Cricetulus griseus: one gene and its partner. The protein of the gene in region 2 purifies or fractionates together with the protein of the main gene of each other region. This does not show direct contact. Links are inferred from orthologs where the notes say so. Each region holds a gene or a part of one and is shown on either strand. Other genes may lie near its edges.

What was found.
Region 1: the proteins of Rab11a (region 2) and Evi5 purify together in Homo sapiens (co-immunoprecipitation; 3 studies listed by BioGRID and IntAct, with this or other methods). This does not show direct contact. The link is inferred for Cricetulus griseus from reciprocal best matches to the Homo sapiens genes RAB11A and EVI5.

Annotation. Positions count from the first base shown.
Region 1 is NC_048600.1:2,642,074-2,657,327, forward strand, and holds the start of Evi5 (ecotropic viral integration site 5 protein homolog), read right to left. Parts: upstream 9,583-15,254; 5' UTR 9,448-9,582; intron 1-9,447. UniProt on the Homo sapiens protein: Functions as a regulator of cell cycle progression by stabilizing the FBXO5 protein and promoting cyclin-A accumulation during interphase. May play a role in cytokinesis.
Region 2 is NC_048597.1:176,345,154-176,360,466, forward strand, and holds the start of Rab11a (ras-related protein Rab-11A), read right to left. Parts: upstream 10,190-15,313; 5' UTR 10,069-10,189; coding exon 10,029-10,068; intron 468-10,028; coding exon 272-467; intron 1-271. UniProt on the Homo sapiens protein: The small GTPases Rab are key regulators of intracellular membrane trafficking, from the formation of transport vesicles to their fusion with membranes.

The DNA of each region.
Region 1 (15,254 bases), on a different chromosome or scaffold from region 2:
CTGCCTGCCAATCCAGATGTAGAATTCTCAGCTCCTTCACCAGTACCATGCCTGCCTTCACGCCACCATGTTTCCACCATCATGAAAACAATGAACTAAACTCTGAACTGTAAGCCAGCTCCAATTATAAGAGTTGCTGTGGTCATGGTTTCTCTTCACAGCAAAAAAACCCTAAGACTCATGCTTTGTGTTGATTTAGTGCTGAATAGTCAAGTCAGAGCCACACTAATATCCTCAGATTCCTCATCCCCATTTTTATAATTGTGTACACACACACACACACACACACACACACACACACACACACACACACACACACACACGATGGGAGGGAAAGCACAAAAGCCATTGTGTGTGTGTGTGTGTGTGTGTCTGTCTGTCTGTCTGTCTGTCTGTCTGTCTGTGTGTGTGTGTTACTGTGTGTGTAGGGGATGTTCTTCTGTGTATGTTTCTATTATTGGCTGATGAATAAAACACTTTTTAGCCAATAGCCAATAGAGGCAGGAAGGTAGGCGGGGCTAGGAGAGAAGGAGAAGGCTGGGAGAGAGGAGCCTTGAAAGAGACTCCAGGTAGCAGAGGAAGGAGTAACAGGTTCAAACCTTTCTCTGGTAAGGCCATGTAGAAATACTTAGATTAGACCAGGTGGTGGTGGCAAACTCCTTTAGTCCCAGCACTCGGGAGGAAGAAGTAGACGGATCTCTGTGAGTTCGAGACCAGCCTGGTCTACAAGAGCGAGTTCCAGGACAGCCTCCAAAGCCACAGAGAAACCCTGTCACAAAAAAAAAAGAAAAAAGAAAAAAGAAAAAGAAATATTTAGATTAATAGAATGGGTTAATAATTAAGAGAGAGTTAGCCAGTAAGAAGCCCTAGCCATCATCCAACAGTTTTATAATTAATATAGCGTTTGGAGCTAAAGCAGCAGGACCTGTCGGGACAAGAAAAATCCAGCAACATGTGTGTGTGTGTGTGTGTGTGTGTGTGTGTGTGTGTGTGTGTGTGTGTACACATCAGATAACAACTTTGTGGAGACACCTTCTACTTTTTCACCTATTTTTTGAGTTCCAGGATCAAATTCAAGTGGTCCGGGTTCCACAGCAAGTGCCTTTTTCCATGTTCCCACTGACACAGACAGACAGACAGACAGACAGACAGACAGACAGACACACACACACACACACACACACACACACACACACACAAATGTGAGATGTGGAACCACAAAAGAAAAAAATTGGCAAGCATCCTTCCTGTAAGGTATTTCTTTAAAAACTAAAGATTTAATTTAAGCAAGAGTGGTACCTAGAAAATGACTTGAATGTTGAATTATAATGGATTGCCTCAGAATATCAAGAATCAACAAGAAAAGAAAGTCAAACTAAAGCAAATGAAATAGTCCTTTACAAAGAATAAAATCCAGAAAGCCACTAAATCAAGCAAGTTAGAGCTGGGCGTTGGTGGCGCACGCCTTTAATCCCAGCACTAGGGAGGCAGAGGCAGGCGGATCTCTGAGTTCAAGACCAGCCTGGTCTACAAGAGCTAGTTCCAGGACAGCCTCCAAAGTCACAGAGAAACCCTGTCTTGAAAAACCAAAAAAAAAAAAAAAAAAGAAAAAAGAAACAAGCAAGTTAGTTCAACCCTCATTCTCATCACCAGTCGAGAACACAGAGAACTAGCAAGTCCTTCAGAAATCCTAACAATGAGCTTGCAAGACAATAAAGAGCAAAACTGACAAAGAAAGCCCAGATTGGGGCCAGTTTAACCAGCTTTTAGGAATATTTTTCAGAACACAGTTGAGTGTTGGATGAGCACAAAGAACAGTGAACAAGTACTGAACCCACATTGTCTTCGGTCACTTAAAAGGGTAAATGAACTTCGATGACAGAAGGCTTGGCTGCTATGTGCCAAGCAACCAACCAAAAAAAAAAAAGGCTGTATAGACTGCTAAGCAGGGATAGATCAAGTACAATTACAATAGACAGCTGGAAATTCAAAGTAAACAGAGCAGTCAAGATGCAGTAACTAGAGACCAGACAGTCCTTTCTAAGAAAACCGAAGAGACCATAAATCATCACATTCTACCTGCAAAACACAAAATTCCTGACTTGTTCTAATGAGGAAAGACTATCAGACCACCATGATAACCAGTAATTGCCAAGGTCATTCCTGACTGACATCCTGAACCTTATATATAAACATAAAAGAAAAACAATTGTAATGTAGCAAAACAGTAAAGATCTTGTGCGGTGGTAAGCACTTTTTGTATTGTTAAAGCTTGTTAAAAATTATTGTCAAGAGCAGCATAGGGCTCACAGGTTCTGTAGCTAAATACTACCCAAAAAATCTACTTAGCACCACAAATTTCATAAGGTTATTTGAATATAGAAAATGGCAAGACATTATTTAAAAGGTATACCCTGGGCTGGGGAGAAGCTTAGTGGGTAAAATGCATGACACAAATGTGAGGACTACAATCTGGTCCTCCAGCACCCAAGTAAATGCCAGGTGGGCACGGAGGTCTGTCTGAAATTTCAGTTCTCTTTAAGGAAGCAGAGGTTCCCCCAAGCTAGACTAGCCTTCATCAGTCATCTCTGTTTAGTTGAGACTCTGCCTCAATGAATAAGGTGGAAAGTGATCAAGAGGGCAAACATATATACACACACCCACACACTACACACACACAAAAGGTATATACTTTAAATAAGCTTCCCGGGCAGTAGTGGCGCACACCTTTAATCCCAGCACTCGGGAGGCAGAGGCAGGAGGATCTCTGTGAGGTCAAGGCCAGCCTGGTCTACAGATCGAGTTCCAGAACAACCAGGGCTATTACACAGAGAAGCCCTCTCTCAAAAAAAACAAACAAAAAACAAAAAACAAAAAACAAACTAAATAATAAATAAATATATAAGATTAACCTAAAAGAAACATTATACATACTATTTCCACTTTATCAGGAACTACAGAGTGAAAACTCTGACCATTAAAAAAAAATCTGTCACATGGTTAGGCATGGTGATGCACACTAATCCTAGCACAGAAACAGGCAAGATCTCTGAATTCAAGGCCAGCCTGATCTACACAGCATGTTCCAGGCTAGGCCAGTCCAGACTCCACAGTGAGACCCTGTCACAAACCTAAATAAATAAATAAATATTGGGTGGATTGTTTTAGTGTGTGTAGATACACACAGTGCACATGCCTATCATGGCAAGCACATGGAAGTCAGAAGACAGCCAGCAAAAGTCAGTTTTCTCCTTCTCCCATGTAGGTTCCTAGGATCAAGACAGCAGGCACCTGCTGAGCCATCTCATTGACCCATCTGATGTGTTTTAAAGTAAAAGCTGTCCAGGTGTCCTGGTGTACTTGGGAGGAAGGAAGATCTCTGCATTCCAGACCAGTTTGGCCGATACAGGAGAGTCAAGACTACACAGAGAGACCCTATCTCAGAGAGAGAACTGGACACAAAGATGCACACGCATAATCCTCTCCTACCACTTGGGAGGTAGAGGCAAGAAAAACAGGAAACCAAAGTCAGTTTTGGCTACATACCAAATCTGAGGCCAGCCAGAACTACATGAGAAAGCCCACCTCAAAAATTAAACCGTGGGGGCTGAAGAGATGGCTTCAGTGGTTAAGAGCACTGGCAGCTCTTCCAGAGGACACGTGTTCAATTCCCAGCAACCACATGGTGGCTCACAAGCATCTACAATGAGATCTGGTGCCCTCTTCTGTCCTTCAGGCAGAACACTAAATAAATAAATAAATAAATAAATGACCTTAGAAACAAAAAGAACAAAAATATATGTCTAATCCAGATAATTATTTTTAAAAAGATAAAAATAAGCCGGGCCTTGGTGGGCGCACGCCTTTAATCCCAGCACTCGGGAGGCAGAGGCAGGCGGATCTCTGTGAGTTGGAGACCAGCCTGGTCTACAAGAGCTAGTTCCAGGACAGCCTCCAAAGTCACAGGGAAACCCTGTCTCAAAAAAAAAAAAAAAAAAAAAAAAAAAGATAAAAATAATTCTATCTTAGGAGGAAATACCCCTCAAAGCATGAAAAGAAACAGGACGGGAGGGGAAATAAGGACGGGGCAAACAACAGCCAGACTATTAGAAACTTAACACAGAAGCTCTCTAATGGGTGGTGTCAGCTCACCTATAACTATGAATAAACAACAAAGACCTGTCTTAACTTTAACAACAGTTTCCTACTTTCCTGGTGTGAAATTTAAAAGCAAGTCTGGAGGTACAACTCTGTAATAGAACATTAGCATGGGCAAGGCCCAATGCCCCTCCCCTACAACTGGGGGAGGGTCATTTTCTAGATAAAACATTTTAAGAACTACCTCACCCTATCACAGTCCTTTCCTTTAAGTATAATTAGCTGAAATGTCAAAACCATCCTAATTTTTCAATAATATTATAACAGTTTTAATATTATATATTACAAATATACAAAATCTATTACTTATTCAATGATTTATACATACAAATATTTACTGGCTTCCAGGTATCCAACATTTCTCATTCTCTTACCTGATTTTTCCACATTTAGGATGAACAAGTGCTAAAGAGAAAGCACAAAATAGTGTATTAGGCTGACTTATCTTTAAAATAATTTCCATTGCTGACAATGTAAGATTCTGGAGCAATGAGCACTTCTAAAAAGAACATGAGAAGTCTTGGTGACAAAAGCCTGTAATCTCAGTAGCAAAAGATGAAGACAAGAGGATCAGGAGTTTAAGGTCAGCCTGGGCTACATGAGTCTGTCTCAAACAAAACAAGACAAAGAATCTGAGAGACCAGACCATTGATCAAAAATGTAGGTCACCCCCCTCCTAGCACCCTAGCTTGGTAAAACTGTTTAAAGAAACATAAAATGATAAAAATGTGTGAAGCACATGAGATGACAATCTATTTGAGTTAAAGTTAAAATGCACACTGAACACACAACCTACTTTGCTTCTTCATGAAAACACTACTGACACTCGGATGTTTTAGTTTTGCTGGGGTTGGTGAGACACCTCATGGGGAGCTGATTTCAAATCCTCATCTCCCATGTAAAAAGCAGGCACAAAGCAGCACAGACCTATAATCCTATAATCCTGGCACTGGAGAGGAGACAGGAGGAGCCTTTGGGGTTTGCTGACCAGCCTAGCAGACTGGCCAGCTCCAGATTCAGTAAGTCTGTCTCAAAAGACTAGGATAGAGTCAAGCCAGGGAGTGGTCAAGCATGCCTTTAGTCCCAGCACTCGGGAGGCAGAGGTAAGCAGATCTCTGTGAGTTGGGAGACCAACCTGGTCTACATAACTAGTTTCGGGACAGTCGGGGCTACACAGAGAAACCCTGTCTTGAAAAACAAACAAACAAACAAACAAACAAAAAAAAAAACCACTGATGCAGGCTCAATGGTAAACATGTCCCATGCAAGCCTGGCAGCCTGAGTTCAAGCCCCAGAACCCATGCAAAAGTAGTAGTCCACAACACAACACCACATGAACGCATGCACACACACCATGGCATGCATGCCTATGTACATATATACAAACTCTAATAATAATTTAATTAAAAAGTGCAGATGATGCTGGGTGTACCCTTTAATTCCAGCACTTGGGAGTCAGGAGGCAAGAGGCAGGCAGATCTCTGTGAGGTCAAAGCCAGCCTGGTCTACAGATCAAGTTCCAGGACAGTCAGGGCTATTACTGAGAAACTGTCAGGAAAAACAAAGCAAAGCAATAAAAATAAAGCCGGGTGTTGGTGGCACATGCCTTTAATCCCAGCACTCGGGAGGCAGAGGCAAGTGGATCTCTGTGAGTTCGAGACCAGCCTGGTCTACAAGAACTAGTTCCAGGACTGCCTTCAAAGCCACAGAGAAACCCTGTCTCGAAAAACCAAAAATAAATAAATAAATAAATAAATAAATAAAAATAAAAATAAAAAATAAAAAGTCCAGATGTCTGAACTAGAAATCAAAGCAGCACCTGCCACTGCACAGAGAACAGGTACACAGAATAAAGGTGCACAAATAAATTCCCACCATGCTCTGATTCTGTGTCAGGGCCATGGTGAAATCAAACTGTACTTAATACTGTAAGTTTATTTTTATATTATTTATTTGAGTTGTTTTTGTTTTGTTTTGTTTTTGAGACAAGGTTTTTCTATGTAGCCTTGGCTGTCTTGGAACTCTCTCTGTAGACCAAGCTGTCCTGGACCTCAGACCTGCCTGCTTCTGCTTCCCAAATGCTAAGATTAAATGCCTGTGCCACACACCAGGCTTAATACTATTAATACTATCATAACATCAAGTTTTAGAAATACTACTGCATGGGTCCTATTCCTAGAGATGCTGATGTATTCAGTCTAGAGATGACAAGAACTTTTTTTTAAAGCTCTCCATGAGACTCTAATGTAGAGCCAATGCTGAGAACCAGTGCCCAAGGTTAGATAGGGTAAACCTGGACATTAGGAAGCCCTGTTTATAAACTCGGGTTTTTCCAACTAGCTGTCTCCTGCTCTCTCTTAACTACAAATAGAAAAACAAGGAACTGCCAGCCAGTCTTGAAACTCACTACTAAACAAGTTGTAATACCAAGTTGAAAGTTAACCTGGAGGAAGCAAACCAGACAAAGAAAAGAAAGCTTAATAAAAACCATCGTTAACATCCTCCGATATAGGGGCTGGAGAGATGGCTCAGAGGTTAAGAGCACTGTCTGCTCTCCCAGAGGTCCTGGGTTCAATTCCCAGCACCCACATGGCATCTTACAACTATCTATAACTCAAGTTCCTGACACCCTTATACAGGCATACACATGCAGGCAAAACTGTAACATACATAAAAAATAAAATAATTTTTAAAAAATCCTCTGATATAGACAGTGCATCCTCGAAAACAAGGCATAGATGAAGTAGCGACTGACAGGGGGGAAGAAGCTGAACCAACCACAAGCTTACAAACGGGAACATGTGTCAAGAAGCAACTAATCCGGGCCATTCACAAAAGCCCAAAAGACTAAAGAACAGTGCTGAAGAGGTTAAGACATTGAGTCTGTGTAAGGGTACAGGTAAGACTTTCTAGGTTCCCATTCCCATTCTCTCATCATTTATTCCTGGAAACACTGACCTGGAGTGACTCCAAACTCAAGTAGAGTGAGGCTGAAGGCTGAAAGCCAGGTGTCTGTAGCAAACAGCAACCACCCTCTGCCCATTTCCTCTGCCCAGCTTTCATAACACCGGCAGCCAGACAGACATATCAGCTACCCTCACCCACAGGAGACACATTCCAAGACTCCGGTGGACATCCAGATATTCTCACGGCACCTGCTCACCGCCACTCATCACAATGTGGCCGTGCAGGCAGAAGCAAGACTGCACAACTATCAAGACTCCTTCATCCTTTCTCTCGTTTTACAGATTGAAGATTGTTCTTAAGTAGATCTTAGCAACATCACTACTCTGTTTTTATTATTAAGTCAAGAACATTCATTCACGTTTTCAAAGAAGCATTTTGCAGCTCCACTTTCAGCACATTCAAGGGTGAAGTAACTCTTGCACTTGGTGCCATTACTAAGTAAAATAAGAGACACTTGAACACAGGCGGTGGAATGCCAAAGTGGCTGACCAGATGACCCCAAGGGTTACTGACTAACGTCTGTGTACAGCCTAGATATCCCAGACAAAGGAGTAATTGGCTTCTCACTTGGATAGTGTTCAGCTACTCAAAAATGGCATGTAATTTAAAACTTAAAAACTAAATGAGCTAATGTGTATCAAGAGCTCAGAACAGTGGCAGCCTAGAGTACCTAAGTAAGTTCAGTAAAAGAAACTTTAAGACTCCTGAGTTGTTTATTTCTGACATTCTGCAGATATTTTCAGACCACTGATAAAAGAAACCTTGGAAAGTTAACACAGTTGCTCATGCAAGGACAGTAGGTTCTGTCCCCGGCAACACACAAAACAGTGGAAAATAAAGAGATCATGAAAAAAAGATAAAAGCATAATACATAAAAGAGGCACTTCACAAAATACAAAAATGGCCAATAAAATTTTAACCTCGATCACCACAAAAAAATGTAAAATAAGGCTACACACTGATAAAGTACTGTACCACCACGCAAGTCGCACAATTTTTTTTAAAAAAATGATGTGTCTGCCAGGCGTTGGTGGTGCACACCTTTGATCCCAGCTCTCGGGAGGCAAAGGCAGGTGGATCTCTGTGAGTTCGAGACCAGCCTGGTCTACAGAATGAGTTCCAGGACAGCCTCCAAAGCCACAGAGAAAACCTGTCTCAAAAAAAAAAAAAAAAAAAGATAAGCGTCATCATTGAGTACTGGACTAACTGGAGTTTTACTGAGTACTAATGGGTACAACCGCCTTGGAAAAGGCCCGATAGCACCTAAAGTCAGAAACCTAAAAACAAAACAGTATCTACCAGAAAGAGTGGCAATACCCTGCAAGGAGGTAGGAGGCAGGAATTTGTCAACAATTGGGCCACACAGCAAGACTCTCATCCAGAAACAAAACCAAATACATTCACAAATAAATAAATAAAATAAAAAATTCCACTCCTCCGAGGAATATACCCCAATCTGTAATGTCTATTTCTTCTTGGTGTGTGCTGTTTCACTTAAACCTCGCCACCTGCAAACTTAGGACTGTGATCTTTTTCTGCCAACACACTTGAATACATTTTCTACTATTTCCCTGACAGAAACTTCCCAGAGAAAGGCGAGCATTTTCCTATTTGTCCCACAGAATGCAAATTCCCGAAACGCCAAGGAATTTTTAACTAATAAAATTTGGAAACAAAACCCCAAGCCGAAGATGTAAAAACTACCAACAGCTCGTGTTCCTCTCTCCTGACTTCCTTCGGGAAGCTCTGGAACTCACTCTCTCGGCGGAGAAAAGGAGATTCTTCTCCACCGCAGCTCCGAGAAAACCGCTTGCTGCTCCCTAAAACCCCCTCCAGCTTTTCAAAATAGGAGGAAAGCGAGGCAACCGGTTCGCCGGTCCAAAAGTTCTGCTTAGCCCTCCTGCGCCAAGGACGCCCCCCTGGATGACCTCAGGTCAGGGAAACCAGCGCAGACACCGCCGTCGCCACCACCGCGATCCGAGTGCCGGAAGCGGCGCGGCTCACCTGGGGCTCGCCCGCGGCTCACCGCGACTCACCTGGCGTGCCCATCCATCACCTGTCCGCAGCCGCCGCGGCCACGCGCACAAGCCGGAGGCCAAAAACAGACACCAACTTTCCAAGTTACGGAGGCGACTCCCGGGCCGCAGCGCGGGCGCACCGACGACCGAGGCCGCCCGGGCCAGGCGAGCGCGGGGAACGCAGGCCCCGGCGGGCTCGCGCCGCAAGTTCGGCAGCGGCCCAGGGCGGGGCGGCGGCGCCGCGCTCACCACCCCTCCTTCCCTCCATCCCCGCCGCAGCCCGGCCTGGCGCGGCGCCGCTCACCTTGGAAACCTGCGGTGGACGTCGCCGTCAACATGAACTTCCCATCCAGCCGGCGGCCGCTTCGCCGCGCGCCGCCGCCCGCCGCGCCGCCGCCGCCTCCCAGCGCCTCGGCCCGAGCGAGCCGCGTCCCCGCCGCGCTCCCCGGCGCGCGCCTCCCGCTCCGGAGCTCGGGACCTCGGGCCGCTCGCCGCCCCGCGACCCTCAGCCGGACGCTCGCCCGCCCGCGACTCCAGCGAAGCCCGCACCGCAGCCCCCGCGCCCGCGCGCCCGCCAGCTCCGCCCGGCTTCGGCCGGGCCGCTTCAGGAAAGCCCAGGGCGCAGGCGCGGCGAGGGCCTTAAAGAGCCCCGGCCAGGCCTCTACGGCATAATGGGTTCGAGCAGGTTGGAGCCCCGGCCGGTTGGCGAAGCAGAAGCAGAAACCGAAGGAAGGGATTGGGCCGCAGGCAGCGGAGGCGGGGAGATCCCTGTCTGTCCTCCGCCCCTCTTCCCAAGCACCCTGCCCTCGGCCCTGCAAAGTGCTGACATCCACAGTCGCCAGAACCGCCCGCCCGGTGCCCGTCGGGGCAGCAGAAGACACACCCCCTGCCTGGAGACACCCCACCCCCACCCCGGGCGAGCACCCCGAGCCTGGCTGCGGGCTTCCAGGCCTGGGGCGCGCAGGTTGGACGCGCAGCCTTCCCAAGGCTGCCCCGAGTTCAACTCTCAGAAACGTTACTCAGAAGGATGGCACTTGACGAGGTTAAACGGGTCCTCACCAATCCTTTGGACACCGTGGGGTTTATTCGGAGTCCGACAGAGGGCAGAAGGTGAGCAAATTATCCAGCACCAACGAAGAAATTCTTAGAAGGAAAGTACTTAGTTCAGGACAAAATAGCCTATTCATTCGGGTCCTGTCTCAAGAAAAGCAGGCAAGAAAAAATAATAGAGGCAATGTAAATCTTTGTCACACACTTAGAAGTGATCGAAATTATAGTAACTATCACCATGCAGTCCAAAAAAAAAAAAAAAAACTCCAAAATTGTCTACTAATCTGATACCCTGGTTTTCTTAAATTTGTATTTGTAAGACCTACCCAGAAAAGGTTCCACTATCATAAGCACTTCTAGAAAAGAATATCTTTCAACAAGACTAGGAACTAAGAAATGGGAAGTAAAACCATGTCCTCCACCCAGCTAAAAACTTTGAAAATTTCAAAATGGTCTGAGGCAATTTTTTGCATAACTTTGTTATGTTATTAAAGTCAATTTTAACAACTTCATTGTAACTTAATGCATCTTGCATAACAAAATGAAACATTTTTTATAATCTACTTCTCTAATTTATTTGTAGATCCTGTTGCTTTTATCTACTGGTTTCCTTAAGTCCTATGTCCTCCCATCACCAACCACCCTGCTCAAACTTACTCTCTCCTGCCGGTAGACTCTTTAAAGACACTGACCTAATTTATCCATATCCCTCCTACCCTCCTCTAAATCTCCTCACAACACAGAAAGAATGCTTGTTCAGAGTACTATGTCGTGTGACGTTGTCCCTGCATAGCGTCCCACTCCCTCAGACAAAACCTCCTAACCAAGCCCTTCAGTGCCAAGCATCTCTCCTCTCTGCTCTGCCCACCTTCTCTAGCCATAACTGACCTCTTTACTCTGAGCAATTTCTCCCTCCTGACAGCTTCCTCAGACTTCTGTTGCCTGAGAAGTTCTTCTTGCCCTCATCTTACCTAGACCTTGTTCTCTAGGTCTGAGGCGAGCCCTTTGACTGCCCCTATGTTAGTCCTGTCACCTTCCAGGAAATTGTAATTATAGGACTCTTCTGGGGATGTTTGATTCTACTACTAAACATCTGGCTCCATAAGGCCAGGAGGGTTAATTTTACTTGATTTGTAGTCATATTTTCATATTTGTTCGGTGAATTCTAGAATCATAGGTTTGAGAACTTGAACCACATGTGGCTTAAATGTACTGACATCATAGGTAAATGTCACACTTTGACATCTGGAGTCAGAACTTAAAAAGGAATGCTAATTATTATTAAAAAATGAACTTTAAATTCTTTGAGCTGGGATGTCATAAGAGTCTTTGGGTAATATGTAAAACAGAGTATGCAAACCTCCCACTGAAGGACATACCAGGCTATGGTGGTGCACACATTTAATCCCAGCACTCAGGAAGCAGAGGCAAGCAGATCTCTGTGAGTTTGAGGCCAGTCTGGTCTACATAGCAAGTTGCAGGACAGCCAAGGCTAAACACAGAGAAACCCTATCTCAAAAAAAAAAAAAAAAAAAAAAGCTGTAACTGTGGACACCGTGAAACTATTAACACTGGTTGTTTCAAAAGTAGAAGATGGGATAATTAACAATGAAGCATCTCCAGAGATGGGAAGATGACTTTTTTTTTTAATACCCAAAAGGCTTAAAATAGTACTTTTCCCATTTTTAAGCATGTGAATTACCAACTTTTAAATGAATGACAACAGGGTACATAGTATATAAATTCCAAGTATGCAAAATTTCAGAAAAGGCAAAACTAAATGTAGTGAAAGCAATGATAGCAGAGCTAGAGGGAGAGCTTATTGTGGTCAGCATGTTATGATGTAATTATTTTGAAATACTGATCTCAAAATACTATTCCTGAGGAGGGCCGTTACCTTGGCCCTCCAGCATCATCCCTGGCTTATGCCTTTCTTTCACTTGCCCCAAGTGTGTCAGTTTATTTCCTAAAAGAGCTTACACTTCAATGCCCCACTTTAATTGTTAATTCTAACACTCATGGTGCTCAGGCACTTTCATAAGTGATATGCCACTGTGTGAGTTCTACTCTGACACCGCCTCTGCTCATGCCACTCTGCTGTTTATCTGCTGCTTACACTCTAGAGTTGAGACTCTGGTCTAGACCCTCTCATGAAAGAGACAGAGGAAGTGTGCCAGTGAGCAGCAGCACTTTCTTCAGAGGCCAGTTTATTTAGTCAATTCAGTTAGCAATTCCAAGTTCTCTTAGCATGGATTTAGGTCACTATCTAGGAAGGAAACTCCTCTAACCTGCCAAGGGTTAAGTCACAGAAAACCATAACACTGACTGCCAAAGGTGTTCAAGTCAGCCACATGAGCCCCATCGATCACCAAAAGAAAACAAGGGAGGCATTCTTCAGAGAGGTCAAGCCACCCCAGGTACAGAGGCAGAACTCACCGGCCAGGTCAAATCCACCCGTGAACACCACCACTGTCACCCTGAGCATGAGGCATCTGAGCACCCTCAGAAAAGCAGGGCGCTCATGTCTATTCTAGGATTACACTGTCTAATTCGGGGGCCGTGAGAGCCACTATCCACGCTTATATCTCAACAGTTTCAGCTTCTCAGTCACACTCACACATTCCAAGTGCAGTAACGGCACCTGTGGCCGGGAGCCCAGAGTCAGAGAACATTGCCTGCCGTCTGTCAGAAGTTACATTGGTGGCACTATTCCAGGAGGAAGAGGAAGACAACTCCACTGAGAGTCCCAGATAACGGTCAAAACTGTTTGCTTTGGGAAAAAAATGAAGGCTGGACGGTGGTAGTACACGCCTTTAATCCCAGCACTCCAGGTGGATCTCTGTGAGTTCGAGACCAGCCTTGTCTACAGAGCTAGTTCCAGGACAGCCTCCAAAGCCACAGAGAAACCCTGTCTCAAAACAAAACAAAACAAAACAAAAAACAAAAACAAAAACAAAAAAACCTGAAACAGTTACAGCACACCTCCTTAGGCTCTCTCTCTACTTACCACAATGGGAATCTAAGATACTCATGGCAAAAAGCTGGAGCCTCTCCACTTACTGGGGTTCTAAAAATGGCTTCAGCCTCACCACTTTACCTTCATCACATCCACTGACAGTAAGACACAAGCATCACCCTAGGAAGAACAGGCTGACAGCACACACTCTTGCTGCCGTCTCTTGACCCTTGTGTGGAGGGAGACACATAACATTGGTGGAGACTGAGCCTGTGGCTCCAGAGTCTCTCTGCCTCTCTCTCTCTGCATCTGTCCGTCTATGTGGTTTGTATGCCTGTGTCTATGACTGTTCACATGGGTGTGGGCATGTGAGTGGGTCCATGTGAAGCCTGAAGCTGATGGTTGGGAAAATTTTCAATCACCCTCTTCCTTATTAGTTTAGGCAAACACCTCTCTCTCTCTCTCTCTCTCTCTCTCTCTCTCTCTCTCTCTCTCTCAGGTTTCTCTATGTAGCCTGGCTGTCCTGGAACTCACTCTGTAGAGCAGGCTGGCCTTGAAATCACAGAGATCAGCCTGCCTTTGTCTCCCGAGTAAGTGCTGGGACTAAAGGCATGCACCACCAATGCTCAGTGATGGCCTGTATTCTTAAGCACAAGGAGCCACTAAGGAAAGAAACAACTGTCAACATTGCCACCAACTAGAATTTGTGAGTAAATGTTATGGTAACCATTTTCCCTGGCTAATCTGTATCTCCATGTGAAAACTTAGAAGCCTACATAGACAAAGTAGGCCTCTGTTTATAAACAAGATCAATAGCAGCAGCCAATAACAGCAGGGAAAGAAACTATTGAAAAACAAAAGCTAATTGTTAAAACATCTCTCTAGAAGGTGTGGAATTAAACCCACCACTTAATATAACTCCTGGTTGCTATGTGAATGTCCACAGTACCATGAGATAATATTCTTAAAATAAAACTGAAGACATATTCACTAACTGCTACTGTGCTTTAAAGATCAATCGAGGTACACAAATCCTAATTCAGTAAAAACTGAAATTCCCTGCTGCAATGATTGCTTTTTTATAAGCACCATAGTAAAAAGAAAAAAAAAATCAAACCCCGGTTTTAGACATTTACCTGCCTCCTATCGGGGTTTCTAAAAGCAGCAGTCATTTTGGTAGTAACCATGATGAGCCTGGAAAACAGAGACTGGAGATTTTAATTGAATTTACAGCTGACTCATAGGGAGTGTTTACATCGATGTTCGTACTGGGCTCCACCCATTTAACACCCTTTTCAGCTCCAGCCTGCACTTGATAGGTAGTAGTAACTTTAAGGGAAGTTAGGAATGTGGAGAATGGGGAAAAGTCAAAGCAAAGCCTTTGGGGATGTAGGCATCCTAACAGATGTGCTTTCTTCTCTTCCCTCCCTGCCTCCCTTTCTCTCCCCTCCTTTCTTCCTTGACTGAGTCAGAATGATCAAGTCTGAGATGCCAATTTTGAGGCGCTGGCTTGAGGCTTCTCTAATTTGGTACTCTCAGCCTGGACTTTAACTTCAGAAAAAAATTAACTTATCTCTCTGTCTCTGTGTGTCTCTGTCTCTCTCTGTGTCTGTCTCTGCATATCTCTGTGTTGTCTCTCCCTGTCTCTGTGTGTCTTTGCCTGTATTTCTCTGCCTCTCTCCCTCTAATACCCCATCCCCCAGAAGGAGGAGGTTTGAGAGGCTCACCATTTTCACCAGTGCCCATGTGACCCATCCTGAAACGACTTGAGACAGAAGCTATTTACTGAGGTAGGGCTTTTTGATGTTGACGATACCTGTAAAGGTCTGTGTGTGTGAGGAGGGAAGTTCTGATGTCTTATCTATCTTTGAGTTAGCCATGTTCCTCGGTGAATAACACCAATAAACTTGTTAATTTATGTATGTATGTAAGTATGTATGTATGTATGTATGTATGTGTGTGTGTATTTGTGTGTATGTGTGTGTGTGTGTGTATGGTGTTTAACTGTGCCAAACACTTTCCTAAGAGGAAGGGCAATAAGTGACTAAATTTTCAGCTCTGTAATAATATTACAAACGTTCACACAAAATAGTCATTGCTAGACA
Region 2 (15,313 bases):
CATCTTCTTACCTCCACGGTAAGCACAAATGTGGTACACATACATATATGCAGGCAAAACATATAAAATAAAAATAAATTTAAAAAAACATCAAAAAAGAAAACAAAAACCCACAAATGGAAACATTCAGGGCTTGTGGTTGCAGGCATCTAGGGAGGGTTTTGGAACACCTCCCAAGGTTAAGGTAGGACTACCGTGCCTTTACAATACTTAAAAGTCAGCAATCCACTTGATACCAACCTATGCCAGAACTGAGAAACCATGAACTTACGCAGATGTTATAGCCCTGTACCGCTCCTGCCCTGCTGTGTCCCATATCTGCGCCTTTATTGTTTTCCCATCAACCTGGATGCTTCTTGTTGCAAACTCTACTCCAATGGTACTCTTGCTTTCCAGATTGAACTCATTCCGAGTAAATCGAGACAGGAGGTTACTCTTTCCAACACCAGAATCTCCAATAAGGACAACTGAAAAGACAAAGATAAAAAATTAATATAAGTTACATGAAGGCAAGCACATTCAGAATACCAACATGCTTTTAAAAGAACACTCAGCTTTAAAATAAATACAACCAAAGATTTGAGAGAGGCATAATGCTAAATAGTTTGTCTATGACCAATCAATTAAAAATCCACTTACTCTTTATAATTTATTTCTATCTGCATGATGACTTCCACACATTATCTACTCAGCACAGATCAGACATAGCACCCCATCTAAAAAAATACCGCCCCCTTTGGTTTTTCAAGACAGGGTTTCTCTGTGGCTTTGGAGGCTGTCCTGGAACTAGTTCTTGTGGACCAGACTGGTCTCGAACTCACAGAGATCCGCCTGCCTCTGCCTCCTAAGTGCTGGGATTAAAGGCGTACACCACCAACGCCCAGCTATATCCCTCGCTTTTTGTCCTATCTGGGAACTCAAACCCAGAGCCTTACACATGTAAGGTAAACACTGGACCACTGATGTATATCCCCAGCCCTTAAAAACTCAATTTTGCAATTTTAAACATAGGGTATCCTAGCCACTGATGCAAACATTAATTACCTTTAATTTATGGCAATGTCACTACCTTAGAAAGTATTCTGAAAGGTAAATAACAACTTGTGTTATTCACATGTTTTAGGCATCAAACAAAAGATACCAATGCATAGAGTGGGAAAACGTGCACATTCTACTACTTTCACTGAAGACAAGGTGTGATGTGAGACCTGAAACACATTTAAAACATGAGGCATGAGGGTTACAAGCTTTGCTGCTCTGGTCATAGAAACTATAATCATCTTTAATAGTTACACTTCACAGACTGGCAGAAAGCCACAGGGTCACTTCACCTCTATATGGACAAACAGGAGCCCTAGGAAGCTAACAATCTGACATACTGAGTCAAAGCCAAAGTAAGGAGGGCAAACACTTTCACTTAGGACTCTCTAAAAAATTCAAAAACAAGTTTTGATTACACTCATTTCCTATGAATAGAAGGCAGTAAAGACATTTGCTGTCAAGCCTGAGGACTAGAGTTCCATCTCTGGGACCCACATGGTGGAAGACAGCCTACTCCTAAAGTTGTCCTCTGATCTCCATATGTGTGCGGAGCTCACACATGAATGAATGAATATAATTTTCTATGTGTATAAACAGGAGTCTCTGTAAGTATGCTATGTGTATATGTATGAGGGGGGAATGCCCAGAGGACAGAGAAGAATTGCAGTAGTAAACAGGTGCTGAGAACTGAACTGGGTCTTCCATAATATCAGCTAATTCTTAACCACTCAATCGCCTCTCCAGTCCCAATGAATGTAATTAATTTTAAAAAAAAGAATTTCTGGGGGAAAAAAAGAATTTTGGGGGGGCTAGAGAGATGACTCAATGGTTAAGAGCACTGGCTGTTCTTCCTGAGGACCCAGGTGTGGTGATAACTTGCTTGTAAAATAAAGCCTGTCTGGGAGATCAGAGCAAGACATCAACAGACCCAGGTTTGATTTCTAACACCCACATGGTAGCTTACAACCCTCTAACTCCAGAAAACAGTTTGTAATTCCAGTTCAAGGATCCAATCCCTCGTCTGGCCTCTGCTGATATTGCACACAAGAAGTTCACAGACATACCAAACCAACCCCACAAATAAAACAATAAAATAAAATAAATTCCTGAGCTAGGCATGGTTCACTCCTTTAATCCCAGCATCCAGAAGGAAGAAGCAGGCAGATCTTTGAGTTTGAGGCCAATCTGGTCTACATAGAGTTGCAGGCCAGCCAGGGCTACATAGTAAGACCCAGTATCAAAACAAACAAAAAAGGGAAATAGGAAATTGAGAAACAAGTTGAATTGTTTAAGTGAGGGTCTTGGCAGAGGCAGATGGAATCTCTTAATTTGAGGCCAGTCTGGTTTATATATAGTTTCATGTCAAGAAAGAAAGAAGAGAGAGAGAAAGAGAGAGAGAGAGAGAGAGAGAGAGAGAGAGAGAGAGAGAGAGAGAGAGAGAGGAGCCTGGCATTGGTGGTGCACACCTTTAATCCCCCCAGCATTTGGGAGGCAGAGGCAGGCGGATCTCTGTGAGTTCGAGGCCACCCTCGTCTCCAGAGCAAGTTCCAGGACAATCTCCAAAGCAATACAGAGAAACCCTGTCTCGGAAAACCAAAAGAGAAAGGGGGGGGGGACAGGGAGGGAGAGGGAAGGAGGGAGAGAGGGAGCCCCCAACCCCACCCCGCTCAGCGGTTAACAGCACTGAATGTTCTTCCAGAGAAACTGGGTTCAATTCTAGCCCCCACATGGCAGCTCACTACTATTTGTAACTCCTGTTACAGGGCATCCAAGGGATCCAACACCCTCACAGACATGCATTCAGGCAAAACACCAATGCGTATAAAGTAGAAATAAATAAATTATTAAAGAGGGGGGGTCACATTCTGGAACCAAGGTTGGCCTAGAACTCAAAATCCTCTTGCTGAGATTATAGGTGTATGTCATAATGTCCAACTTCAGACAAGTTTCGTTAAAAAATGGGTTTAAAGATCAAAATGGGGTGTGTGGGGAAGGGGTGCGCATCTTTGATCTTAGCACTCAGGAGGCAGGTAGATCTCTGAGTTCAAGACCAACCTGGTCTACAGAGCAAGTTACAGGGCAGCCAAGGCTACACAGAAAAATCCTGTCTTAAAAAAAAAAAAAAAAAATCAAGCCGGGCAGTGGTGGCACACTCCTTTAGTCCCAGCACTTGGGAGGCAGAGGCAGGTGGATCTCTGTGAGTTCGAGACCAATCTGATCTACAGAGCTAGTTCCAGGACAGCCCCAAAGCCACAGATAAACCCTGTCTCGAAAATCAAAATGCGTTTATAGGTTTACAGAATCTGAGCTAGACAATATTTTTTCCTGCATAAAAATTTTTGTTGATTTTGAACTAATAAGAACAAATAAATAAATAAATAAATTTTGTTGGTATTGTAGTGAACACCATATTTATTTCTATTCTTGACTAGTAATGCTTCTAAACTAGCTGACTGATGTAGACATCAGACTAGAAAATCAACATGAAAGGTTAAGGCCATGAAAGGTAAAGCCATGCTTTACTCAAAAGACTGGGATTTGATGGTACATGTGGAAAGAAGGCTGACTGCACTCCAGACAAAGAGAGCCCACTGTGCACATCTTTCTGTCACAGAAGTAGCACTAGCTGGCCTTATAACAACCATGCATTATCAAATGCATATCTTTCTGGCTTCCTCTATCAGCTGATTCAGCAAGAAATCCCAGCAGCAGTGACTCTGTGCAGCAAAGAGAAGTTCTTTCTATCTTTGTCAATTAGAGGGTATCCTAGTAAACAGACATTAAATGCTTGTACTGGATATCAGGGAAAATAATGTCAAGGTCATGAAAACAAAACAATGCACTTTCAATTTTACAGAATGGTTAGTTAGTAGGCTGGTTTCCAAACTCCACCACTGTAGATGTTAAGTTGAATCCCAGCTTCTTAATAGAGCCTCCCTATTAATAAGATACATTCACTGTTGTTTCTTAGTGTAAGATGCTAAATGTTCAGAGCACAACTCCTGGGGGGAGGGGGGGCTGGGAAAATGGCCCCAGCTAAGAACCTAGTCTGAGCTTCAGCCAAAACTCCCTACACCTTTCCTGAATAGCAATCCTTCAGTCACTCCAAGAGTATAGAAACTTAGGCCAGGAGATGGTTCAACAGGTCTTGTTGACAAGCCTAAAGACCTAAATTCAATCCCATGAACCCACATGGTAGAGAGGAGAGAATCAACTCCTTCTTAGACTTCTACACACACAACACACACACACACACACACACACACACACACACACACACACACACACACACACACAATGGCATAAGCCAATACACCACCAAAACAAACATACATTCATACATACAGACATAAAATAAGTATGTGTATTTTTAAAAAAGGAGGCAGAATAACCTGCTGAGGAAATTTCCTTTGAATCACTTCTGGTCCCACACTAGCATTAACACTAACTAGAGCTATATATAGTGAAGAAGGAAAAACCAAAGATTAGCACACATCTAATTAATTCATAGACACTCCCATTTCAACCAGTCCGTCACAATTTAAAGACAAAGAACACATGCAAACAAGGCCTCTAGCTAACATCACCTTTTGGTAGGGAAACACCATCAAAGAACAATGTACAGCTCCCACAGAAACTCCAGCAGTAGTTCATGTTTTGTTTTGTTTTAAAACATTAGCCATTCTTGAATTTTTTTAAATTTATCTTACTTTATGTATATGGATGGTTTCCCTGCATACAGGTATGTACATGACATGCATTGCCTGTTATGTCCCCTGGAACTGGGATTATGAATGGTTGTGAGCCACCATGTAGTGTTGGGAATTGAACCCAGGTTCTCTGTAAAAGTAACAAGTGCTCTTAATTGCTGAGTCATATTCGAAGCCCCTGGTTCATGTTTTGACCTCCACTTTTTTTCCCCCCAAGACAGGGTTTCTCTGTGGCTTTGGAGGCTGTCCTGGAACTAGCTCTTGTAGACCAGGGTGGTCTCAAACTCACAGAGATCCACCTGCTTCTGCCTCCCAAGTGCTGGGATTAAAGGTGTGCGCCACCAATGCCCAGCTTGACCTCCACTTTTAACAAATGACTAAATTTACTATCTCACCAACATCAAATCTTTATACCATACCAACTGAAGAATCCACGGCCATGTAACCAATTAACTTTATTATTTGAAAAGTAGTAAGTTTGTAAATAATTCAACATTACAAATGCTCTAAAACTATAAAAGTTATACCAACTAGCTTACTGACAAGATCTCCAAAAGTCAAGACTTGCAACTTGCCAAAGGAAAAGGACGTTTGAAATGGCAGAAGACTCCAGTTTTGTAAGAGAGAGAGAGAGACTGTGTGTGTGTGTGTGTGTGTGTGTGTGTGTGTGTGTGTGTGTGTGTGTGTGTGTGTGTGTGTGTGTGTGTGTTGAAATGTGATATGATAAGGAGAGATGTTTTTATTTCCTAACCAAATGAGAAATCAAAATGAGTGGATCTATTTGGGATGGATGGATGGATGGATGGTATGAATTACCTTACAAACAAAAGAGAATTCATTGGTTACGATTAAAACAAACAAACAAACAAACAAACAAAAACCCTTAATGGACCTTTCTTTGTGGACTCAAAATTAAATATTAAATTCTAGTTAAAATACTTTTTCTCATTAAGATGACAACATTGACATTTTTCCCCCAGTGGTGCTGGGGATCTAAACCTAGGGCTCATGCTAAGCACATGGTTTATCACTGAGTTATTACCCACCACGCCTCTTGTTTTGTTCTGTTTTTTTTTTTTTATGTAAGAAACTTTATGTTCACAACCAATAATTAAAGGAATCAATTTCTGGGTCAGCAAGATGGCTCAGCAGATAAAGACACTTGATGCCAAGGCTGATGGTAGAAAGAGAGCATACTTCTGACCTCCACGCACACGCACCGTGGCACACAAGCCCAACATACATATAATCACATAAATAAATAAATAAATAAACAAACAAACAAACAGATAAATGCAATAAAAATGTAAAGAAATTTTTAGTAATTTTTATATATCTATTACTAATATCTTAGGTTGAATGGACATATAGTTAAGTATCCTACAGTTTTAGCCATCTATAGAGTACATACTAAACAACATGACTGTAAGACAAATAATAGTATCTATATATCAAATATCAATATAATTCCTAAATATGCTTCCCTGGAACTTAGCCTCATCTGCTGAAGCTCAACCCAATATCTAATATTAATTTGTTTACATATATGTTTTATATATTATATATACCACAAATATCAAACTGCTAAATATTATAAAAGCAGAGCATATACATTGTCTATTATTAAATTTAAAATTTCTATCTCTAACCACATTTAAGTATTTTTGCTATTGTTTTTGTTGTTATTTTCTGAGACAGGATCTCATTCTGTAGCCCAGGCTGACCTCAAAAGCATGGCTATCCACCTACCTCAGCCTCCCAAGTGCTGGAATCACAGGCACGAGCCTCCATGCTCCACACTTAGTTTTATACTTCTCTAGTAAGCTCATTTACTGTTTATCTCCTCACCATACATACAGAATACTGGCTTTAAAGCTTACCAGCTGAAATCCCTAACCATTTTCATACTGGTTTTCAAAAGCTTCGAAGTATTTCTACTTTCAAGTACACTCAAAGTCCAACCTCACCAAGCCTTTAAAATAAAATGTGTCAATAATGCTGAAGTCTAAGACAAGTTTTCCAGCTTCATCAGAATCTGAATTGCTCAACCAAAAGTTGTGAAAGAAAAGCTACCAAGATTCAAGACAGGGATGGTTCTACTGATGATCAGCTGATGATTCATAACACGTGGAAAGAAAAAGCCAGGAGAGTAGACTATGTTCCCACCTGCTTCCAGAAAGTGCCACATTGTCCTGGTGTCCAGCCACCTGTCTATCCCACAGCATCTTAACCACACTGGTGTATGTACAAGGTTAACATGTTTTTAAACAGTCATGCTTTTAAGAAATAAAACAAATTCCATAGGTTTCACTGCAAAGCAAATTTTACTTATAAAATTTAATTTTCAAGAACAAATACATGATTTAGAACTGTCCTTACCTGTCCATATCACATCCCCACTCACACTACTCCACTCCATGTGATAAACATACCCCTTCATGCTAAATGTTACAAACTCCAATTTCCTTAACTATGCAGTGTGCTAAGTTAGCCTTCTCCAAAGTAGAAATGCTTTGGTTCATCTTAGAATAAATCTCTCTGGAATGAAATCATTTTAAAATAATTGTATAAGTAAAAAATTGGCTAAGTAATCAGTGTTGAAATAAAAAATAAAGTGACTCATATCCTGTAGCAGTTTCTAAAAAGTGGAAACTCTTCTCAGCAGATTTTTTTTTTGGGGGGGGTGGGTTTCGAGTCAGGGTTTCTCGGTGTAGCTTTGGAGCCTATCCTGGCAGTCGCTCTGGAGACCAGGCTGGCCTTGAACTCACAGAGATCCACCTGCCTCTGCCTCCCAAGTGCTGGGATTAAAGGCATGTGCCACCAATGCCTGGCAAATTTTTTAAACATCCAGTCTTATACGACAAAAAAATAAAAAATAAAACCAGAACCCACAGAGATACAAAATAATTCAGAAGTTTCTTAGTTCTTCTGTGCTTCTTTATAAAACTTACATGTTCTTTAACATAAAGATTGATTGTTTAGTGAGATGGCTCAGTGGGTAACGGTGCTTCCCATCAAGCCTGATGACCTGAGTTCCACCCCTGAGACTGACACAGTGGAAGAAAGTAACCGACTCCCCAAAAGGTGTTCTCTCACCTCCTCACGTGCCATGTGCACATTATCACACACATCAATAAATGTCGTTTTTAAACATTTAAAAAGATTTATGGCTCAAGAACTAACAAGAATTGTAACAATTTCATTTATATCATTTACTGAATCTTCACAAGAGCTAAATTTTACAATCTCACTTATTCCTCAAAAAGGTATCACAGGATTTCCTTTACTGAGGAAACTGAGGCTTAAAAAAAGTTGAGCAGGGGGGAAATAATTATAATTTCAAAAAATAAAAAAATTACTTTTGAAAAGTTAACTTTTCCAAAGTCACAGGCAAATATAAAGCCCTAGTGTTTTCTCCACAATCTAGGATAAATTAACACTCCTAGGAAAAATAAACAGCTTTCTATAGCCAACCTTCACATTCCAAATCAAATAGAAATAACTTCGAAAGAGACTAGGTACTCACTGTCATTACGAAGTACTTAAGTAAACCAACCCCAAATGCTCCTGGGATTTAAGTAATTTCACATCATCTCAGATGCCTTCAGCATTCTAGGTCTCCAATTTGTTTTGGGTTTGGTTTTGATTTTTTGAGACAGGGTCTCACTATGTAACTCTGGCTGGGAACCCACACGATCAACCTCCCTCTGCCTCCTGAATGCTGGAATTTTAAAGGCTAACTACAGCACACCAGGTTTTCCTATTTGTATTTTTAAAGTTTGGTACCTTACTAACTTACCATATAAACAGACTATCCCGGGGGCTAAATAATGATAAGGGTGTACCAGCAGCTAATACACCAAGACTTGTAAAAGTATATGGTATCGCAAAAGAAGTGTATCCTGCTTCATCATTTCGTCAGTCACTCTTAGCACCCAATGGCAAAGCCAGAAACACCATGCTTCACACTCTTGAAACTCCACCCTCCACAGTAAAGCTTTAATAGCAAAGCTTCTTCCTCTCTGGTAATGATCTTTGTTCAGCACACTACTGATGGCTGCCCTTCTAAATCAGGAGCAGAGCAAGACTACGAAAGTGAGAGCGCATTCATGAACAACAACAAAAAAAGCGTTCACTGTACTCTCTTTTCGCTGGGAACTGTATCCTTTCACTTTGGCTTCTTTCCGGACTCAACCAATAAGCAATTCTCTATCTACTCCCCATCCTCCCATGTCTGTCCACCCGCTTCGCATTTTCCCCTACCTTGCAATAAATTCTTAATTTCACTAAAAGAGCACGCCACCACTATAACCCTCTCCCACCGTTGGGGAAAGGTATGTGACCAACCAGGGCTCTTCCCTTCCTGTTGGATCCTCCCAGTATTGCAGCAGGAAGCAACCAGTCCATAGTGATAAGCTAGCTAGTATTTGTGCAGCGCACAACCTTTCCTGTCCAGGAACTGGGCCTTCAGGTCTGGCAGGGATAACAGCCACCACCCATCCGCAGCCCCTTCACGAAAGCCAAGTAAAGGAGTTATCTGGGTCTGGTTGTAGCTGAGCAGGGACACGAGAAGGAAGGGGGTTAAAAAGGCGAGGTGGGAAGTCATCTGCCTGCCTGGACACTGCGACAAGTGCACGCACGCCAGGGGTGATGGACAGGCCCTCTTGCCCTCCCTTGGTCTCCCCTCCCACCAGCCAGGTCGCACCGCAGCTCTGAACGTTAGGTGAAAAGGAAAGGCACAGAGTTGCCCATCTGCGGGGAGGGAGAGGTCAGTCCGCGGATACTGACCTCGAGGTCTGCAGGGATGGGGGTGGGGGCCCTGGGATGGGCGAATCTGGCCGAAGCCCAGGAAAGGCTCACTCGGAGGGAGGGGAAACGAAAGGAAATGAAAAGGAAAAAAGACAACAAACAAACAAATAAACAAGCAAAAACCCCGTAGAGTCGGTGCCCCAAAATGGGTGCTGAGCCTAGGCAGGGGCCTGTCAGAGGGGGATGTGAGGCCGGCAGCGTGCATCCAAGAGGAGGGGCCCGAGATGCCCAGGGAAGAAACTGCCAGACCGTGAGGAACGCAGCCATCGGGGAAGACACACAGTGAGGGGCGACGCGGCCCGGCAGCCCTCCCCGAGGCGCAGGAACTGCGCCGGCCGGCGGGACCCCCGTCGGGGCAGCAGGGAGGAAGCTGAGGCGGGCTCCGTCCAGGGCAGGGCTCTAGCCCTCGCGCGGGTCCCCCGGGAGTGTCTCGGGCCCGAACAGGCACTCGGCGGCCCAAGCACTCACCTTTAAAGAGGTAGTCGTACTCGTCGTCACGGGTGCCCATGGCGCGGCCGAGGAGCTGAGGGGCGGGAGCGGCGGAGGCGACAGCGGCGGGACCAGGGGGCGTCGCTGCAGGGGTAACCCGAGCGCCGAGCTTCAGCTGCCGGACCCGGTGAAGAGCCCCGCCCTGCCTCTGCGTCACTTCCGTCAGGCCCCAGTCCCTCACAGGAAGGACTTCCGGAGAAGTGGCGCCCCGCCCCTGATGTGTGCACGGGAGTGGACTCCGCACTCTCGGCCGGCTTCGGAAGGCTTACATGGAACAGTCTTAAAATGCCCAGCTAGATACAGTCCTACGGGCCTTTGGCTTGTTCTTTCCTTAACCATGCAGGGAAGAGAGGCATAGTGTTTGTTTCCGGTCGAGGGGGGGGTGGGGGCGGGGTTTTGTTACCATTAGACTCCCAAAGATAGTGCTGCTTCTGTGCTGGTTCCATGGTGTAATGGTTAGCACTCTGGACTCTGAATCCAGCGATCCGAGTTCAAATCTCGGTGGAACCTGTTTCTTTAGTCTTTTGTTATTATATTTATTCTTAATTCACATTGAATGACAGAATAATTGTATCTGCTTTTGGATATAATACATATAGTATTTACCTATAAAGATTCACCAATGAATCTCTTCAGTTCAGTAGTGTCTGCTACATGGAGACCAGGACATTAAACTCTTACTTCATTTTAGCCTTGAAGGAAGCTTGTTTCTTGATTCCTTTTGCTGGAATTTTCTACCTTACGCTTCAGTTAAGGATAAGCACTTCTCTTCAGAAATCTCTTACACTATCTCCAAATGTCATTAAGAGAACGTCACCCACCATCCTCATAAAGATCCATCAAGACCTTGAGTCTTATCTGCTGGCCTCCAAGCTAAGCCAGGTTAAATAAATTTAACACAGAGGACAGCAACTTCCATTTTAGCGAATGTCAATGTTAAGACTCAAGTGATTTGCTATAACGTCTCCTCATAGTTGTTTTGTTCTTATTGTTGTTTGAGGCAGTCTCACTCCCCTCTGTAACCCAGAATGGCTTTGAAATCACTGTGTAGCCCAGGCTGGGCTCTGCTATGTTCCTCTGCCCCCTCTCACCCCACCCTCTAAACACACAGAGGAATATTCACCCAATAATTCCTGGGAAATGTATGTTAGGTCATGGGAAAAGAGAATTCAGCTTACAGATGGAGTTCAAGTTGCTAATCAACTGACCTTAAGCAGGGATATTATCTTTGATAATCTGAGTAGACTCAGGGTTGTCCTTAGCGTCTTCCCAAAGTGGAAAAGAGGGGGTTGTCAACAGGGATGTGGTGCTCCTCCAAGTTGCCACCAGCCACCTGAGGAGAGGGAGCTGGATTCAGAGAAAACCTGACTCTTGACTTTGCTTCATCTCAGCGTGATAAAATATGAAATGGAATTGGAATTTATTAAAAGAGATTTTCATATAGATTCTAAATTCTATGGTTAAGAGGCAGTGAGGGTCTCAGAAAGAAAGACATAGCCAAGAGAATGAGCTTTTCAGAGAGTCCTGCCTTGTCTTTACAGGCTCCATATCCACCAAGGATTTCAAATCTATCATCTTCAAGGAGTTGCTGAAGAATCTGAGATCATAGGGTGGCTCCTACTTGGTGAATAGGAACATAACTGATAGGGTAAAATTCTAGGTCACAAGGAAGGTTGCAGGGGAATTTAAAATGTCTTTACTGTAAACAAAGGTTTAGTTTTGTTGTAAGATTCAGGGGAAATATCTGAGAGAGAAGTTAGGCCATACTTGAAGATCATAAATGCTTAGTCTATAACAGTTTGTTGCTTTTTAAACATTCTCTATATAATTATAATGTTTTAAAGGTCATCACTAGTCCAAGTGGTGTGATTGCACATGTTTTTAATCCCATATGGGAGGCAAAGGTAAATGTGAGTTCAAGGCCAGCCTAGTTTCCATAGTGAGTTCAGACTAGGCAGGGTTACAAAACAGGAAAAACAAAGCAAAACAAGACCATCCCCACTGCTGGGGATGGCAGCACAATACCTGTAAACCCAGCACTCATGAGGTGGAGGCAGGAGGATTGCAAGTTCTAGGCCAGTCTAGGCTTTATGTGGAAATCATGTCTCAAAAGTGGTGGTGGTGGTTTGAGGTATGTGTGTGTGCATTTGTGCTTTTATGGGCAAGTTGTGAGATGGCAAGGGACAATGACAAGATAGCTTAGCAGGTAAAAGCATTTGCCACCTAGCCTGAAGACCTGAGTTCAATTCCAGAATCTTACATCCTACTTGGAAGGAGAGAACTGACTCCTAAAAGTTGTCCTCTTATTTCCATCACACAGTTGCCACATACACACACCTTAAATTAAAATGTAGTTTTAAAAAATTTTTAAGGAGGCATTATTCTTTCTTACTTTCTCTTAATAACTCTACATTCTCTCTACAATAATAATAAGAATATCATCTCCTACACTGACAACCTTCACAGCAAATGTTAATAGTGTTGGAACTGTTCACTATTGACTAGAGAGAAAGACTTCAATCAGACTCTAGAGTGGAGGCTCTTCTGCCTCCTGAGGTCACCATAATTTTCCCTTTGTGTCTTCCTCAGGAGTCATGTGTAGGGTCACAAGCCTATAATTTCAGCATTTGAGAGGAGATAATAGGATCAGGAGTTCAAGATCATCTGGGCTACAGCAGACCCTGTCAAGAAGAGGGGTGGGGGGAGAAAGAGAAACAGAGGGAGAGAGAGGGAAGGAGGAAAGGAGGGAGAAAGGAGGGGTGCAGAAGAGATTACAGAGATTGATGAAATGAGAAAGAATTTCCAACCCATCCCTGCTGGCTTTGAAGATGGAGGGAAATAATCAGGAGCCTCACAATCCAGACGTTTCTGGAAACTGGGAGAGGAACCCAAAGAGATTCTTCCCAAAGAAGAAACATAACCCTTTCTACACCTTGATTTTAGCCCAGTGCTGAGCTGATTTAAATCATCAAGCTCAAGGCAATTAATTTCAGCAGGCATACAAAATGAATACAACAACATTTTCAGTACTTTCTCTGCCAGTGCAAAGGGATACGTTGTTAGGCATGCTGATGCACACCTGTAATACCAGCACCTCGGAGATGGAGACAAGAGGATCAAGAGTTCAAATCCAGCCTAAGCTGTATGAAACCCCAGCATTGTACAAGTGACAGTCATTCAAACTGGGAGAGATGTGTATTATTTCTTAAAAAGCCACAAGTTTTTATGGTGCCTATATGTGACTAAAGATTATTATCAGATGGTATAGGTGCTGCTTATTGGAGGAGACTGACAGGGCCACAAATAGGAAACTCAAGATGGAAAGAGCAAGGAAGGAAGCTAGTTTTTGGGAAGTGGGGGAAACATGACTGTGAGGGTGTGTTGAGTAAGGCCGTGGATGCTGCCAGAAGTTCTAAGCACATTTTCCCCTTATGTCATTATTTCTCAATGTGAATTCTGAGAAGGACAATAGTGTTTCTCAACAAAAACTTGCATGATCAGCTACATTGAGAACTACACATTGCTTCCCAGCTTAGAGATTCTCTAAGCTCATGGGCATTTAAAAAGCATATATATATATATATATATATATATATATATATATATATATATATATCAGTTCCCAGATTCACCAGACCACAGAAAAAACTCCCATTAGCAGCCTTTTAAATATTCTGGAGGAGTGCAAAATAGACCATTGGACAGAGGAGAGATTAGAGTCAAACTTAGGTCCTCTAAAAGAGCAGCATGTGCTCTTCAACACTGAGCCATCTCTGGGACTTTATTTGGTTTTTTTGCTGTTGTTGCTGGTGTGTGTGTGTGTGTGTGTGTGTGTGTATGTGCTTTGTTTTTGTTTTTGTTTGAGACAAGGTCTCTCCGTGTAGCCCTGGCTGTGGAACTTTATTCTTAAAGTAAATAATACAGAAGTATAGAATAAGGCTTTAACATCTTCCTCCACTATTTCAGTTCCTCTCCAGACCCCAGAGATAACTAATTATTTATATTATTTTCCTCCTGTTGAAAGTCTGTATAAATCCAGACAGATTCAACTAATTATCTGAATAGCTTTCCTTTAACAAAGATGTATAGCAGCTTGTCCAAACATTTCTACTCACTTACTTTTAGACAGGACAAGAAAGATACTGAAGACTTATCCAATTAAATCATGTTTATTTTCTTATTTATATAAGATCTCACATAGCCCAAACTAGTCTTGAACTCACAATGTAGTAGAGGATCTTAAACTCCTGGTCCTCCAATAGACTGCTGGGATCACAATCCTTCACCATACCGTTTTATGTGGCACTGGGGATCATACTAGACAAGCACTCTACTGTAGACTGAGTTTCTTTCTTCCTCCCATAGCCGTTTAGCCCCACACAGAGACTTATATTAATTATAAATTGTTTGGCCAATGGCTTAGGCATCTTATTGGTTAGTTATTAACCCATAACTATTATCTATGTGTTTCTACATGGCCTTATCTTACCTGAGAATTCTGGGACCTGTTATTCCTTCAGTGGCTAATGGCATTTCCCTGGCAGCTCACTCTCCAAGTCCTCTCCCCAGAATTCTCTTCATCTGGTAGCCCCACCTATACTTCCTGCCTGGCTACTGACCAATCAGTGTTTTATTCATCAGCCAGTAAGAGAAGCATATATACAGAATGACATCCCCCATCATCTCCTCTTTTCTGTCTAAGTAAAAAGGAAGGTTTTAACTTTAACATAGTAAAATTATATATGTCAAAACACTTATCAAGCAAGAACTATAGTTAACAGTATTTGGCAAAATTTAACATTTACATTTGGCAAAATTTGAAAAAAATATCTATCCTATCTTTGTGAGTCTAAAGTTTTATATGTAACATCTTTTATTATAACTAAGGAAAACCATAACCATAACTATCTTCTGTCTTCAACTTCATCAAAGACCTCAGAAGGATAATCTATAAACTCTAGAATTGACAGAAACATCTTGCTGCCTGGACAGTCACCCAAAGTTTCTCTGTGATATTGGGGTATCCATCTTCTGCCTATAGGCCTAATGTGTCTGGCAGACTTCTCAGTGAAGCAGGATATTTGAAACTGTCCACCTGCATTGGCAGTTTGTCATTCATTTTTCTCTGTGCCCTGCAGAATGTCTGGCAGATTTTTCCATGAAGCAGGAACCCTGAAGGACTGTCCCATCTTGTTTTGTCAAGTTCAGCAGTCACTTTCCTGTGGGTCCTGCATGTTCACTTTATACAGCATACAGTCAAATAG